3 linked regions of the Rattus norvegicus genome follow. The protein of the gene in region 3 interacts with the protein of the main gene of each other region in a pairwise test. Links are inferred from orthologs where the notes say so. Each region holds a gene or a part of one and is shown on either strand. Other genes may lie near its edges.

Region 1 (4,284 bases), on a different chromosome or scaffold from region 3:
CAACATGGCACAGAATGGCAGAAGCATACTTACGGCCATGTCAGAAACTGCTGAAAATGCTGTCCTCATCCCAGGTCAAAACTCATCTAACGGTTGTTCTTAAAAGTCAACAGCCAATACGGCAATTTTTAAAATCAAGCATTCTAATACAATATGGCACAAGCATACATTAATTTGATATTTACATGCTGATGGATGATGACAGAAAAAAATATTAAGTCTGTTTTCCAGAAGTAAGCCATTTGTTTTTTTTTTTTAAAAAAAAAAAAAAAAAACAGGAAATTTTATATGTGCACTAAAACCTACAACTGCTAATGTGTGATAGTCTGGAATCTGAGCTGAGGTGTTCAGGTGACGTCATCATCACCACCATCACCCTCATCACCATCACCCTCACCACCCTCATCACCATCATCACCATCATCATCATCACCACCATCACCATCATCACCATCACCACCCTCATCACCATCACCCTCACCACCCTCATCACCCTCACCACCCTCATCACCCTCATCACCACCATCACCCTCATCACCATCACCCTCATCACCCTCATCACCATCATCACCCTCATCACCATCATCACCCTCATCACCCTCATTCCCTCATCACCCTCATCACCCTCATCACCATCATCACCCTCATCACCATCATCACCCTCATCACCCTCATCACCATCATCACCCTCATCACCATCATCACCCTCATCACCATCATCACCCTCATCACCATCACATCATCACCACCATCACCACCATCACCATCACCCTCATCACCCTCATCACCACCATCATTATCATCACCATCACCCTCATCACCCTCATCACCATCACCACCCTCATCACCATCATCATCACCACCACCATCACCATCATCACCTTCACACCCTCATCACCACCATCATCATCACCACCTTCACCATCACCCTCGTCACCCTCATCACCATCACCATTATCATCACCACCATCATCATCATCACCACCACCACCACAATCACCATCATCATCACCCTCACCATCTGCACGGCTGAGCATGCAGCGCTCACGGTGCAAAGTTACATGTGTTGCCATGCAGAGCCTGGCCTGCAGTGAGGCCACATGATGCAACACTGGCAAACGCTTCTACAGATACCTTGGGTGTGTTACGCACTTGGGTTTCAGCTTAGCTTTCTGTCAGTGCGCGCTCAGAAACCTTGTGCTGCTACAGATGTTTACCCGGCTCCCACATTCCGACATAGGGTCACAGCCTACAGACTTAGAAGCTGGGCTATAGATTCAATGAAGGTCACACAGATACCATGTGACACTATTCATGTGATATCCTCTCCCCCCGCCCCCAGGGGTAGAGCGCAGTAAAATGAAATAAAAAGAGTAAATCAGTGACTCTCGTGAGTCAGGATTAATGCAACCCTGGAGGTAGGATTGATGGTCTGACAGTGGGAAACCCTGGAGGGAGACATGAACACATAGTCACTGTACGCATGACTATATGTGTTTATCAGAAGCAAGTTGGAGCTGGAGAGATGGCTCAGAAGTTAAGAGCACTGACTGGTCTTCCAGAGGTCCTGAGTTCAAGTCCCAGCAACCACACGGTGGGTGGCTCACAACCATGTGTAATGAGGTCTGATGCCCTCTCCTGGTGTGTCTGAAGACAGCTACAGTGTATTCATATACATTAAAAAAGTAAATAAATCTTTTTTTAAAAAAGAAGCATAAGTTAAATTATTAGGACGTAAATGGTAGCATAAACAATCTCTTATAAGCATAAATTCATTAAAGAAGCATAAATTATTAGGATATAAAGCATTACTTAATCTAAAAGTTACCTAAGAAGGGAGGGTCAGATTTGTCTCTAGCAGACAATGCTTATTTAAAATCTAAGTGACAGTGACTTCTGATCACGTTTACCTGGTGCAGTGCATATGTGTCAGCTGACTCCTCTTCCTCGGTCACCAGGTGAACCTAGTTTTATAAAAAAGAAAAAAATATACGACAGAAATGAGTGGTTCCCAAATGCTGAGATTACCTCACTGATCCCTGACTCTGGCCCACACACTGAATATACACATGCTCAAACACCGTCTCTTTATAATCGCTTGTCTCCAGAGAAGCCCACGACACAAAAACAGGCCAATCCTTTCTGCATCGACCTCACAGTGCAGAAGCGAGCGAGCAAGCGAGCGAGCGAGCGAGCGAGCTGCAACCGTGGCTGCCTCCCGACAGCACTTCTTCTGTCACCCACGAATTATGCCGAACTGAACATCTGCTTCTACAGAGCCAGCCCTGCCTTCAACCACCCCGTCCCCAGGAAACACGGCCATAGTTTACCCAGCCGTTTGCCAGTATTTGTTCCAGAGAACGGTTGTAGGCTTCAGAGACGGGAAGAGAAGGAAGGTGGTGTGCGATGTATTACGTTTGAAAAGCTCTGCTCAGAGCGTCACAGAACACACAGTCCTTGGCTGGAGAGATGCTCAGCTGTGAGCAGCCCTTGCCACTCTTGCAGAGACACGGACGGTGCCTGAATAAATCATGGGTTTCAGACATAGGGCCGATAAATTCATGCTGGGTTCTCTTTTAATTAGCCCAAGGTAGATCTCTATTACCTCAAATTATTCGTATATAGGGAGCCCAGCATTAATCTAGGTGAAGCTTTCTTTAGGCAAAGCTCAGAGTCGACCTTCCCTCACGTTTTGAAGTGCTGGGCTGTGATGTATCTTTATTAACTGACTACTAGATCTACATTCTGGTTCCTCCTCAGGAGACCCACCTAGACTCCTGGGTCTTTTTAGGCACACTACCTTGGCGGTTCTGAATTTTTCCGAAACTTCCCACCTGGGCATCAGCTCTCATTCCTATAGAATGAGAGTTAAAGAACCAGATATCTGAAATCCTTTTCCCCTAAAACCTAACAATTTTACAATGTGTCATATCCTCATAGCACCATCAAAGAACTTTCTTTCGGGGAAAGCAGAGAGACACATGCTGGCCGAGGAGGCCAGGGACAGAGCACGCCTAGTTGGGGTGTGTGGGCAAGCCAGCTCTGGACGGTTCATTCTTGTTTTTAAGAGGACAGATCTGTGCATTACACGTACAGGTGTGTGTGTGTGTGTGTGTGTGTGTGTGTGTGTGTGTGTGTGTGTGTGTGTGTCTGTGTGTGTGTGTGTGTGTGTGTGTGTGTGTGTTTGGAAGTGTGCTCTTTAATGAAAGCCTTGCCACCTTTCACTCTGTGCCACTGTTTCTACACTTAGCAACCCTTGGCTGTCAGAAAAGTCAAGCCGGAAACCAGCAAACGGAATTGCTGTCTCTGGTGCGGCGAGTCACCTCCGTGGCCGGTACTCACTTTACTGCTTGGAAGATGCTCGTCCGCATCTTCATCCAAGCAGACCAGGTCCCCCTTCACCACCTTGGGTCCGTAGGCTGCCAGTCTGTACGACGCTGCCTCGTTCCAAATCCTGCTACTGTATGCGTGGATGTAGAATATACGCATGGAATGGGGGAAGGAGAACCAGGCCTGGACGCAGCCTTCCTCCGTCACGCCAAAGCGATGCAAGGACTCCAGCAGCGCGCGCTCTCGAACCCGGAACTCGGGCATCAGTGAAAGCGTGCCTTTAGCGTCCTCTGAAACGAAGAACAAATCAGCTCGTAGCCACTTCCACGGCAGAGCTACCCGCAGGATGCCTTTTCGAGCAGCCTAAATGAAAGGCAGTCCTTTGTGGAGACATGGAGTAGTACTGGTTAAGCCCGATGATACTTGAAAAGGCTTGCTTTTCTCTTTCTTTCTTTTTTTTTTTTTAGATTTTATTTTCCTTGAAAAATAAGAAAGAGCAAACGAACCTCTGGTCAACAGGAGGGGCTGACCGGACCCCTTCCTTTAGGAAAGTGTTAATCTAATTCAGAAGACTGGTAAATAAAAACTACCAATCACCAAAGATCAAATAAGCCAGCAAGCTGCTGGGGTCTGGGAGTTTCGAAAGGAGAGTTATGGACATCCAATAGAACATCAGCGGCATCCGCAGCTGTAAAGAAACCTACATACCAGTTTGGAGGAAGTATTTCTTTGCTTTATTGACAGGATCATCCGCGTCTTCTGGCGTGAGAAATAATTTTATGGCCTTTACCTGGAAAAATTAACCAAGTAAAGATGTTTTATAAAAAATGACCAATTACTTTTTTTTAAAGGAGGCAAATTCTTGGGCATCCTTAAAGGACTGAAAATGTTGCTGCAATTTCCTCCTTCAGCTTCCAACACTGAGCCTGTTCACATGTAGAGATGATCTTCGAT
Region 2 (4,458 bases), on a different chromosome or scaffold from region 3:
ACTCCATGCCTAAGGCCTGCCGGGAACGACCATGGTGCTCACAGCCACTTCCTGCCTCTGCCTTAGCTGGCTCTGCTCTTCCACTGCTGCCTGCTTCACAACCCCTCAGCCGGGCTGACTTAAAGCCTCTGGGCCAGTCATCCCCTCTGCCCTAGAAGCCACGTGGCCTGCTCCATGACCCTCCTCAGGCCTTTGGTGAGCTCATCCTGACTGCTTCGGGTGAAGCTGCAGCCTCCCCTCCCGCAGAGGTTGCTGGGCCTTGCGCAGTGTGTACTTATCCCCAGCGTCTCTGTAGGCCCCTGCGCCTTTGTCTACTGCCTGTCTTCCCTCAGCACGGGGGCTGTGTGAGAACGGCCCTCTGCCTGTTTCACTTCCCAGGATGTCCTAGGCCTCCATGGTGACTCACAGAGCAGGCTGCAATCAACACCTGTCAGTGAGTGAATGAGGGATCTGCACAGCCACTCTGCAGCCACTCTGCAGCCCTTCCTGCACAAAGACCCTTCCCACTGGGAAGACCCTAGGGCCCAGGCGAGCGTCCGCAGCCGCACCTCTGCCCACTTACCTGAAAGTCTTCCTCATCCAAAATCTCCTTCCTCCACTTGATCAAGAAGGCGGCGCACACGTAGAGATGGAAGTGCGAGAAGCCTTCTGGCTCAGACTGAGAAAGAAAAGAAGAGTCAGGCAGGCCTCCGAGCCCCCACTGTGAGCCTCTCCCTTCCCAGCTACCTGCACGGTGGAAAGCCTGGCTAAAACCCCTTATGTGACAGAGATGGGCTTATGAGACTTCCAAAGGCCTCAGCAGACACAGGATGAAGGTGGGCAGAGAGGCTGCACAGGGTGTCGGGCCCAGCAGGGCTGGCTGAAAGGCAGGGGCCCCTCCATACCTGGTAGGTATCCCACAGGCGGATGGTGCAGCGCAGGGGAAGCTCCCGCATCAGCAGGTTGTTCATCCACCGGAAGGCAAACTGCAGGTACTCCACCTCATACCTCCTGAAGTGACTGTGTACCTGCTCTGAAAGTGGCACCAGGTCAGGAGCCACCAGCACGGCCAGGAGCGGGCTCTGTTTCTTACCAGCCCCTCCCCGGTGGGCTGACCTTGGATCCCAACATCTCAGTCCTGCTTGTGGCTGAGGTCAGCACGTGGTGCACGGCGTGGTGCATGGCACGCCATCATCCACCAAGCCATTCCCAGGTGCCCGCTGTCATCCGGGGGCTGCACTGGCCATGAAGACATGAGGTAAACTTGGCTGCGGAGCCTAATTACTCTACAGGGCAAGGCCAGGAACCCTGGAGGCCACCTTGGCCAGCTCCCTTCAGCATCCCTGACAGGTGGCCAGCAGAGGTGGCTTCTTTCTTGTAGGAGGGGACTCACCAGGAGATTATTCTGCAAATTCGGTTGAAACTAGCTGCCACCTGCCACTTGGCTCCTGCCCTGTGTAGCGTCCTGAGCCAGTTGGCCTGGCCTGGTCCCCTATCCTGCATGAGGGCTTGGAGACTAAGGCTCGATGGGTTTTTGTTCCTGATGCTTTAAGATGCATTTGTACTGAATGACATGTAGGCGTGTGTCTGCGTGTGGGCGTGTGCACAAGAGTATCAGAGGCATCAGAGTCCCAGGAGTTACAGACAGCTGTGAGCCACGCCATGTGGGCGCTCAGAACTGAACGTGGGTCCTCTGGAAGAGCAGCAAGGGGCTTGTGACCCACGAGCCACCACTCCAGCCCCGCTGATGGCACGGTTTTAAATCACCATCTTCTCATTTATAAAATGGGACAATCAGAGGCCAGCAAGACGGCTCAATGAGTAAAGGCATCGGCCACCAAGCCTGATGACCTGACCCCTGGAACCCATCTGACTGAAAGAGGTAATGGACTCCTGGGTGTTGTCCTGACTCCCCCTTCCACGTGGTGGCGTGTGTGTACCCCTCCCCAATAACTTTTTTCCTTTCGAGTTTTATTGAGGATAACCCCTCACACTTCAGAGGACTCTGGGGAGGAAAACTGAGAAAGCCGATCTGTAAAATAGTGTCTGACGGCTCAGTCCAGGGCTTCAAGAGGAGCAATGGTTGCTTAGGGGCTGGAATCTAAGGCCTGGGGGCTGTGAACAGCTGTGGGGTTGTTGCTGTTGTATGGTCTTTGTAATGAGAAAGTGCATAAGGTACAAGAGTGTGCTGCACATCTATATAGTGTGGGGGGGTGTGTGAGGGGTGTGTGTGTGTGTGTGTGTGGTGTGTGAGGGGTGTTTGTATGTGTGTGTGTGTGAGGGGTGTGTGTGTGTGTGTGGTGTGTGAGGGGTGTTTGTATGTGTGTGTGTGTGTGTGTGGTGTGAGGGTGTGTGTATGTGTGTGTGGTGTATGTGTGTGTGGTGTGTGGTGTGTGTGTGTGTGTGTGGTGTGTATGTGTGTGTGGTGTGTGTGTGGTATGAGAGGTGTGTGTGTGTGGTGTGAGGGTGTGTGTATGTGTGTGTGGTGTATGTGTGTGTGGTGTGTGTGTGTGTGGTGTGTATGTGTGTGTGGTGTGTGTGTATGTGTGGTGTGAGGAGTGTGTGTATGTGGTATGAGGGTGTGTGCATGTGTGTGTGTGGTATGTGTGTGTATGTGTGTGTATGTGTGTGTGGTGTGTGTGTGTGTGGTGTGAGGAGTGTGTGTGTGTGTGGTGTGTGTATATGTGTGTGTGTGGTGTGTGTGTGTGGTGTGTGTGTATGTGTGTGGTGTGTGTGCGTGTGTGTGTGTGTGTCTGTGTGTGGTGTGTGTGTGGTGTGAGGGTGTGTGTATGTGTGTGTGTGTATGTGTATGTGGTGTGTGTGTGGTGTGTGTGTGTATGTGTATGTGGTGTGTGTGTGTATGTGTATGTGTGTGTGTGGTGTGAGGGGTGTGTATATGTGTGTGTGTGTGGTGTGAGGTATATGTGTGTGGTGTGTGTGTGGTGTGAGGGGTGTGTGTGTGGTGTGTGTGTGTGTGGTGTGAGGTGTGTGTGTGGTGTGTGTGTGTGTGGTGTGAGAGGTGTGTGTGTGTGGTGTGAGGGTGTGTGTATGTGTGTGTGTGGTGTGTATGTGTGGTGTGGTATGTGTGTGTGTGTATGTGTGTGTGGTGTGTGTGTGTGGTGTGAGGAGTGTGTGTGTGTGTGTGTGTTGTGTGTGTGGTGTGAGGGGTGTGTGTGTGGTGTGAGGGTGTATGTTTGTGTGTGTGTGGTGCGTGTGTGGTGTGTGTGTGTGTGTGGTGTGTGTGTGGTGCGAGGGGTGTGTGTGTGTGTGTGTGTGTGTGTGTGTGTGCGTGTGTGTGTAGTCTTGTGGAGGTCAGAGGACAGCTTGCAGTAGTCCGTGTGCTCTGTCTACCATGATGATCAGGTTGGCAGGCTTGGGAGGAAGCATCCTAGCCCAATGTATCAGCTCCACAGCCCAGTGTACACATTTTTTAAAAACCCCACTATTTTTAATCTTCATGCCTTTATTTACCTAGGCCAGAAAAAGAAAAGGGAGGTAGACAGCAGAAGAAACCACTGTCTGTGCCATCTGGAATCCACCTGATGACCAGCCCTGGGGGCCGTTGAGTTCCCCAAGAGGACAGCATGCACCCTATACAAGGCTCAGGGGAATGACAGCCCAGTATGGCGCTGGCGGCTGGGCAGAGTGTAAGGCCCAGAGGGAGAACGATCCATTTACCACGCACAGAACTACTGTGAGGGGCACGTGAGGGAGAGCACCAAGGCCCTAGGTCGTGGAAAGATGAGGGAGCCAAGACAAACCAAGGATGTTCCCACGACCAAGAGAACCTGGGAAAGTGAGAGACCCAACTGTGCAGGGGAAGGAGGGATGGGACAGGAAGTCCCACAGCAGAGGGGGGAGGACACCAATGTTTGGTGCAGTCTTGAAGGCACTCACTGGCCTACAGGATCTCTGGTCACAGGGCCCCTGCTAGGTCCACACTGCAGGGAAGATTAACTCCCAACCTCCTCTGTCCGTCTCTCTGGCCACAGTGTCCTTGTCACTAGGGCTTTCTTTTTTTTTTTTTTTTTTTGGTTCTTTTTTTCGGAGCTGGGGACCGAACCCAGGGCCTTGCGCTTCCTAGGTAAGCGCTCTACCACTGAGCTAAATCCCCAGCCCCATCACTAGGGCTTTCTAAGGTCTTCCTAGGGCCTGACCAGAGCTGGGACGCTCCACTCCTGTAAGCACCAGCTCTCCCCAGATCTCTGCCTCCCAGGGAGCCCCCCCAGGTCCCAGAGGGGTGTTCAAAGTCCCACTAGGGTGTCAGCCAGACTCGGGAGCCTGTGTCAAGCCAGGGATCAGTATGTTACTACATGACGGGCAAGGTCAACTCACAAACTGGATACAAAAGGCAATGAAGGGGAAGTCACTGGCAGCTCTGGAACAGAAGGGCACGGCCAGAACACTGCTGGGAAACCCTCACAGGATGATGGTTTGAAAACACAACAAGCAAGAGAATGTAAGTCCTTCTGGGAGGAA
Region 3 (5,053 bases):
GCTTCTCTTCCAGTTGGGCAATCAGGCCACTGAGGTGGGAGATGTTGCAGGAGAACTGAGTGATGGCACCGTTGATGCTATTATAGATGGCCAAGTCTAGCTCCTCAAGGCGAGCCAACAGGCGATACTCATGTTCCTTCAAAGAGTGATACAGCTGCTCAAACTCCCAAACAATTTTTTCCCTCTCCATCTGGGTCAGGCTCTGTAAATGACAAGCAAAGGTAAGAATAGGAAAGGCTCACTGTTAGAATCCTTCAAAATAACCCCCATGACTTAACCCAAAGATCTCACCATTTCAAGTTACATGAAAACAGACACTATGCTCACCCACTCACTTTCCAGTCTACACAGACACGTGCCGACCACGGACTGAATTACTTCAAATCTTAATTAATAAACAGTCTCTAATCTTAAGGGACCCAGTCAAATCAGGGTCAGGTTCATCCACGGATAGGTAAAGACACTGAAACTCAACTGTCTTCCTAAAGTCCATGTTTGCACAGGTCTTGTAGAATGCCATGTAAGCATAAACTAGACAGGCTGTCTAGGCTGAGCAAATGGCACAGGCAATAAAGTGGGGAGAAAAGGCATTGTTCTACATGACTGGAGCCCATGAACATCTTGCCTGGCAGGCGGAGTCATGAAACAATCACAGTGAAATGGCAGGGTTAGGTGTGCACTCTGTGGACATGACCTGGTATGATCGAGCAAGCACAAGTTTCCTGGATGTGTTTACTTGGTCTCAGTAAGTAATCCATGCCCTGATTTTTTAGGGGGTGCTTATGGGTTCCTCTCCATACAATGTTTCTATTGGTTTGTCTATCTTTCCTACATTTCTAATTCCTCCATGCCTGCATTCCTAGCACTTGGAAGGCAGACAAGGCAAGACTGGAACTTCAGGATCACTCTTAACTATATAATGAACTTAAGATCAACTGGGGCTACCTAAGACATCCTAAAAAACCTAGAGTTCTAAGATTATAAACCAAGTGTGGCAGTGCATACTATAATTCCAGCACTTGGGGAGACTAAGGCAGGAATATGGAGAGTTCAAGACCATCCTGGATTGCATAGTGAAACTATTTCTGAATAAACAAATGGTCAGCAAAATGGCTCTAGAGCAGTCAAGAAAGATTTTACTTGAATCCAGCCAAACCCACTCATTTATGTATTAGACATGGCTGTTTTTGAGATGCAATGACTGAGGTGTTGTGATTTAGCTTGTGTAAATTAACAAAGCTAAAAATACTTATTACTGGCCCCTTTCAGAAAGTTTGCTAAAATCTGACTTGAATTCAACTGTTCCAAGGGCCCCTTATACCTCTTTTAACCTGGATAAGTCTTTCAAAGGTATAAAGTATACAATATAACCTTAGACAAAATTAAGGCTAAAGATCAATTTACTGAGTATATCCAAAGCAGTGTGACTGACACACTGGCACAAGTATTTCTCTCTGGAAAATCCTCCCAAAGCTGATATGATACATTGTATGTTTAAGTTTAGTCTACACAAGATCACTGAGAAGTTTCTTCATCCTGTTTTCAAGCAAGAGGTGTCAAGATCGCACTCACTCAGAGACAGGATGGAGCTAAATGATAGGAATGACAGACACCAAGGGGAAATGCTCTGCTTAGAAGTTTTCATTACACCCTTGCCAAGGCTATCCTGATGCAATGCCTCTCTGCAGGCTGGAGACCTGGACCCTTACCAGGAGCTCAGCTCGTGCCTGCTCCCCCTGTGCCCTCCGTCTCTTCTTCAAGTCTTTCACTCTTCTTAGGTGGTCCAGCCGATTCTGGATTTGCTCCTGAAGAAAGTAAACAGTCAGCCAATTCAGAATTTTGCAGATCTCAGCATCAAAATAGCTACTCTGCTTATGACACAGGAACCCAAACTACAGATGCCAAGGCCGGGCTGGACTCTGTCCTCAGACCACAGTGCCATTCCTGGGAAGAGCCTAAAGCACAGGGTCCAGCACAGCTGTTTTAGAAATTTGTTAAACTCAAGCCACCTACCAGTTCCTAGAAGCATTCTGCACAGGTTATGAGACATCTGGGTAAAGAGGCTCAAAAGGTAAGCTATTCCTCAGACGAATACAGAAAAAAATGATTTATTTTCCTCATGCACAGAACTGGTAAGCATTACTAAATTACAACTTTATTTCCAGTGAGTGAAATGATACAGCTTTGTAAACGTGACTGACATTTGGATGAACTCACATTTAAACAAATCTAACTGTTGGTACATATCCCTGCAGTCCTCAAAACAGACTCATTATCACTTGAGAGTTACTTTATATGTAACATTTTCGAATTACTGTGTAGCTGTGCCAGTGTTTATTCAACAAAGGCCTCTTCAGGTCCTGTGAGTTCACTTCCTCTTCATTAAGTTATCTCCCGAGTCTGAGAGTGGCTAAATGATTTACTCAAGCAGTAAAGAGCTCTGTTCATTTCCATTAGGTTCTAAAACAGGTTACAGGGAAGCGCTGGGGGCTTAGATTAAGTGATAGGCATCGGTCGATGTGAATTCGGCCAGCCAACAGGGGCTGTCTGGTTTGATATCCTGGGCCAGAGCAAGTTCGAGGTGTTCAAGGCCTATGGAAGTGGACATGGCTCCATGTGCATCTCCTTTGTCAAGGGAGGGTCTCCTCGCGCCGTCCCAGCCGCGGCACGCGTTGAGGCAGTTAACAGGGGGCGCTCGGAGAAGGGGTGGGGGTGGGGACGCCTCTGGCCTCGCCAGCTACAGGTTCTCCTTCCGAGTCTGAGCGCGGAGGCTCCGCAGCCGACAGGGAGGAAATGACGGCGGTGGGCCCCACGTCCGGCTCGCCATTTTCTCGGCGGCAAACCAGGAAGCCCCCGGCTCTCCTCTTTGTCCGCCGGCCCGGCCCTACCTTGAAGCCTTCCACAGCCTCCTCCAGCGGCAGCACGCTGTGGCCACGGTGCTCGCGCGAGCGGTCGCACACCACGCAGATGGGCATCTGGTCCTGCTCGCAGTACAGCTTCAGAGGCTCGCGGTGCTTCTCGCACACGCCCATCTCGCCGTCCGGCCCCGACGGCCGCTCGGTGCGCAGTTGCTTCACCAGCTGGGTCACGTTGGCCAGGTGCCGGTTGGGCCGCATGTGGCGCTGCGGGAAGGTCTCCCGGCACTGCGGGCACGACACGTTAGTCTCCGCGGCACCCCAGCAGCGGGCCAGGCACGCGCAACAGATGTTGTGGCCGCAGTCGAGCATCATGGGTTCCACAAAGTATTGAAGACACACGGGGCAGGTGGTCTCCTGCTGCAGGGACTCGGCCACGCTCCCTGAGGCCATGGCGCGAGCCGGCTGGGCCGCAGGGCATGAGCCCGGAGCCGAGCTCTGGCAGAGCCCGGCGCTCTCTCTCGGCTTCTCAGATCCGGAGCGGGGTGGGGCCTCCGGCGCGGGGATCCTAGACGCGTGCGGAGCTCTGGGGCGGCCAGACCCGTCCCCGCACAGCTGCACCTCACGGACAGCGCGGGAAGGCCTGGGCCCCAGGGCCCGGCTGAGAGCCGAGCAGAGGGGTGTCGGGAACCCGGCGCTGCAGGATGGCTCACCGGGCAACGTGGCCGCGTCGGAAGGGATCCCAGGGCCGCGCAGACTCCTAAGGGCCGAGCGGAAGAGGTGGGCCGGGGGCGGGGCCTGGCTTCCCGCGCCGCTCTCCTCCGGGGCGGGAAGGCGGGTTTCCTCGGCGCAGTCCTGGAGCCCCGGTACCCAGCCCGGGAGTCGGTGGTGGTTGCCCTTTGCAGTGGGAGCAGGGTGTCCCTGGCAGTGGGGTCGGGATACTCTAAGCTTTGGTGGATCCGTAGTCCTTTGCCGGGTGTCTTCTTAGTGCCTAGGCCTTGGCTCCTTTAAATGCAAGGTGGCTTTGCATAAGTGCCGGAAAACTGGGCTGAGAGACCAGCTAAGCCCCTCCCAGTGTGTGAAGCACTCTGAAACACACCCAACTCCAGGCGATAATAATCGCCAGAAAAAGGTTTTATTATCAGCAACTTTTCTCAGTGGCAGAAATGGAGAAGCCCACTTCTACTTCCACCCTAAAGTAAGTTTGTTTATCGTTCCGAGCCTCATTTTCTTCTCGCGTGAAATGGGGGATTGATAGAATCCAGACCAGAGTGCTCACCAGACCCTGATACCTACTGAAGTCCTTCCCCTTCTCTCTAGCCTTCCGGCTACTAGGGAGCTGCCTCACCGAGAGCCCGCTTGTGAGTCCCTAACTTCTTAACAGGCTCCTCTGGTGCCCAGTTTCTCACTTCCTCAAGTGAAGTAGCCAGACCAGACATATCAAAGAGCTACTTGATGACACACTTCTTCCCTACCACCTGCTGAGGAAGGAGCCTGGCCGCGGGTTCCTATGAGACCCTAGAAGAAACGACCCTGATTCTGCCACGTGGGCTTCATTCTCGAACACTCCCCAGCCCCCACCTCCCCCTGGCGCCTGTGGCGCGGCCAGAAATTCTGATTGTCCACCGCCTATCTGCCTATGGCGCTAATAAAGTTCTTACTCCCAGCAGTCTGTTTCAGTGTCTTCCTTGAGCCCCCATACACTGTTGCTTTCAGGAATTTTCCCCATCCGTGAGTTAAACTTTTTAAAACACAGCTTGAGCCATAAAGATTTTTATCCATTAGTTTAAATGAAGTGTCCAGTGCATTGAACGGCATTGAGTAGAACCTAAAACTTGCTTGTTTCTGCCCAATTGAGAATTCTGCGACGACCCGAGGAGGTCTTGTAGGCTAGCTTCTTATCACAGAATAGATTTGCAGTTCTGTGCCCTGTCACTTCTGCCGTGGCCTTTCCTACTCTCCTTTGGGATTGACTCAGTGTCTGGACAGGGAATTTCTGTATCCAGAGCATCACTTCATTGGATTCTGCTCGGTTCTTTCCCTTGGGACAAGAAATCCGAGGCACTAACAAGTCTTGCTCACCCAAGCCTCCATTCTCCTACCTGCCCTTTTGAAACTCCAGGCTCAAATAATTCAGCACACTTCCAGTAAAAGGTAGAATGCTTGTCCTAGGCCACACCATAGTCTGTCTAGTCTGG

The links.
Region 1: the proteins of Trim27 (region 3) and Pus7l interact in binary tests that used the Homo sapiens proteins (3 or more experiments, as listed by UniProt). The two-hybrid records come from large-scale screens. The link is inferred for Rattus norvegicus from reciprocal best matches to the Homo sapiens genes TRIM27 and PUS7L.
Region 2: the proteins of Trim27 (region 3) and Tbc1d22b interact in binary tests that used the Homo sapiens proteins (3 or more experiments, as listed by UniProt). The link is inferred for Rattus norvegicus from reciprocal best matches to the Homo sapiens genes TRIM27 and TBC1D22B.

What each region holds. Positions count from the first base shown.
Region 1 is NC_086025.1:127,541,060-127,545,343, forward strand, and holds part of Pus7l (pseudouridylate synthase PUS7L), read right to left. Parts: intron 4,121-4,284; coding exon 4,039-4,120; intron 3,621-4,038; coding exon 3,343-3,620; intron 1,965-3,342; coding exon 1,911-1,964; intron 1-1,910. UniProt on the Homo sapiens protein: Pseudouridine synthase that catalyzes pseudouridylation of mRNAs.
Region 2 is NC_086038.1:7,665,419-7,669,876, reverse strand, and holds part of Tbc1d22b (TBC1 domain family member 22B), read right to left. Parts: intron 1,013-4,458; coding exon 885-1,012; intron 659-884; coding exon 563-658; intron 1-562. UniProt on the Homo sapiens protein: May act as a GTPase-activating protein for Rab family protein(s).
Region 3 is NC_086035.1:48,242,750-48,247,802, forward strand, and holds the start of Trim27 (zinc finger protein RFP), read right to left. Parts: upstream 3,309-5,053; coding exon 2,889-3,308; intron 2,357-2,888; exon of another isoform or gene 2,218-2,356; intron 2,152-2,217; exon of another isoform or gene 2,014-2,151; intron 1,806-2,013; coding exon 1,710-1,805; intron 203-1,709; coding exon 1-202. Other genes in the region: uncharacterized protein LOC134482717, read left to right, coding at 3,307-3,635, 4,240-4,276. UniProt on the Homo sapiens protein: E3 ubiquitin-protein ligase that mediates ubiquitination of various substrates and thereby plays a role in diffent processes including proliferation, innate immunity, apoptosis, immune response or autophagy.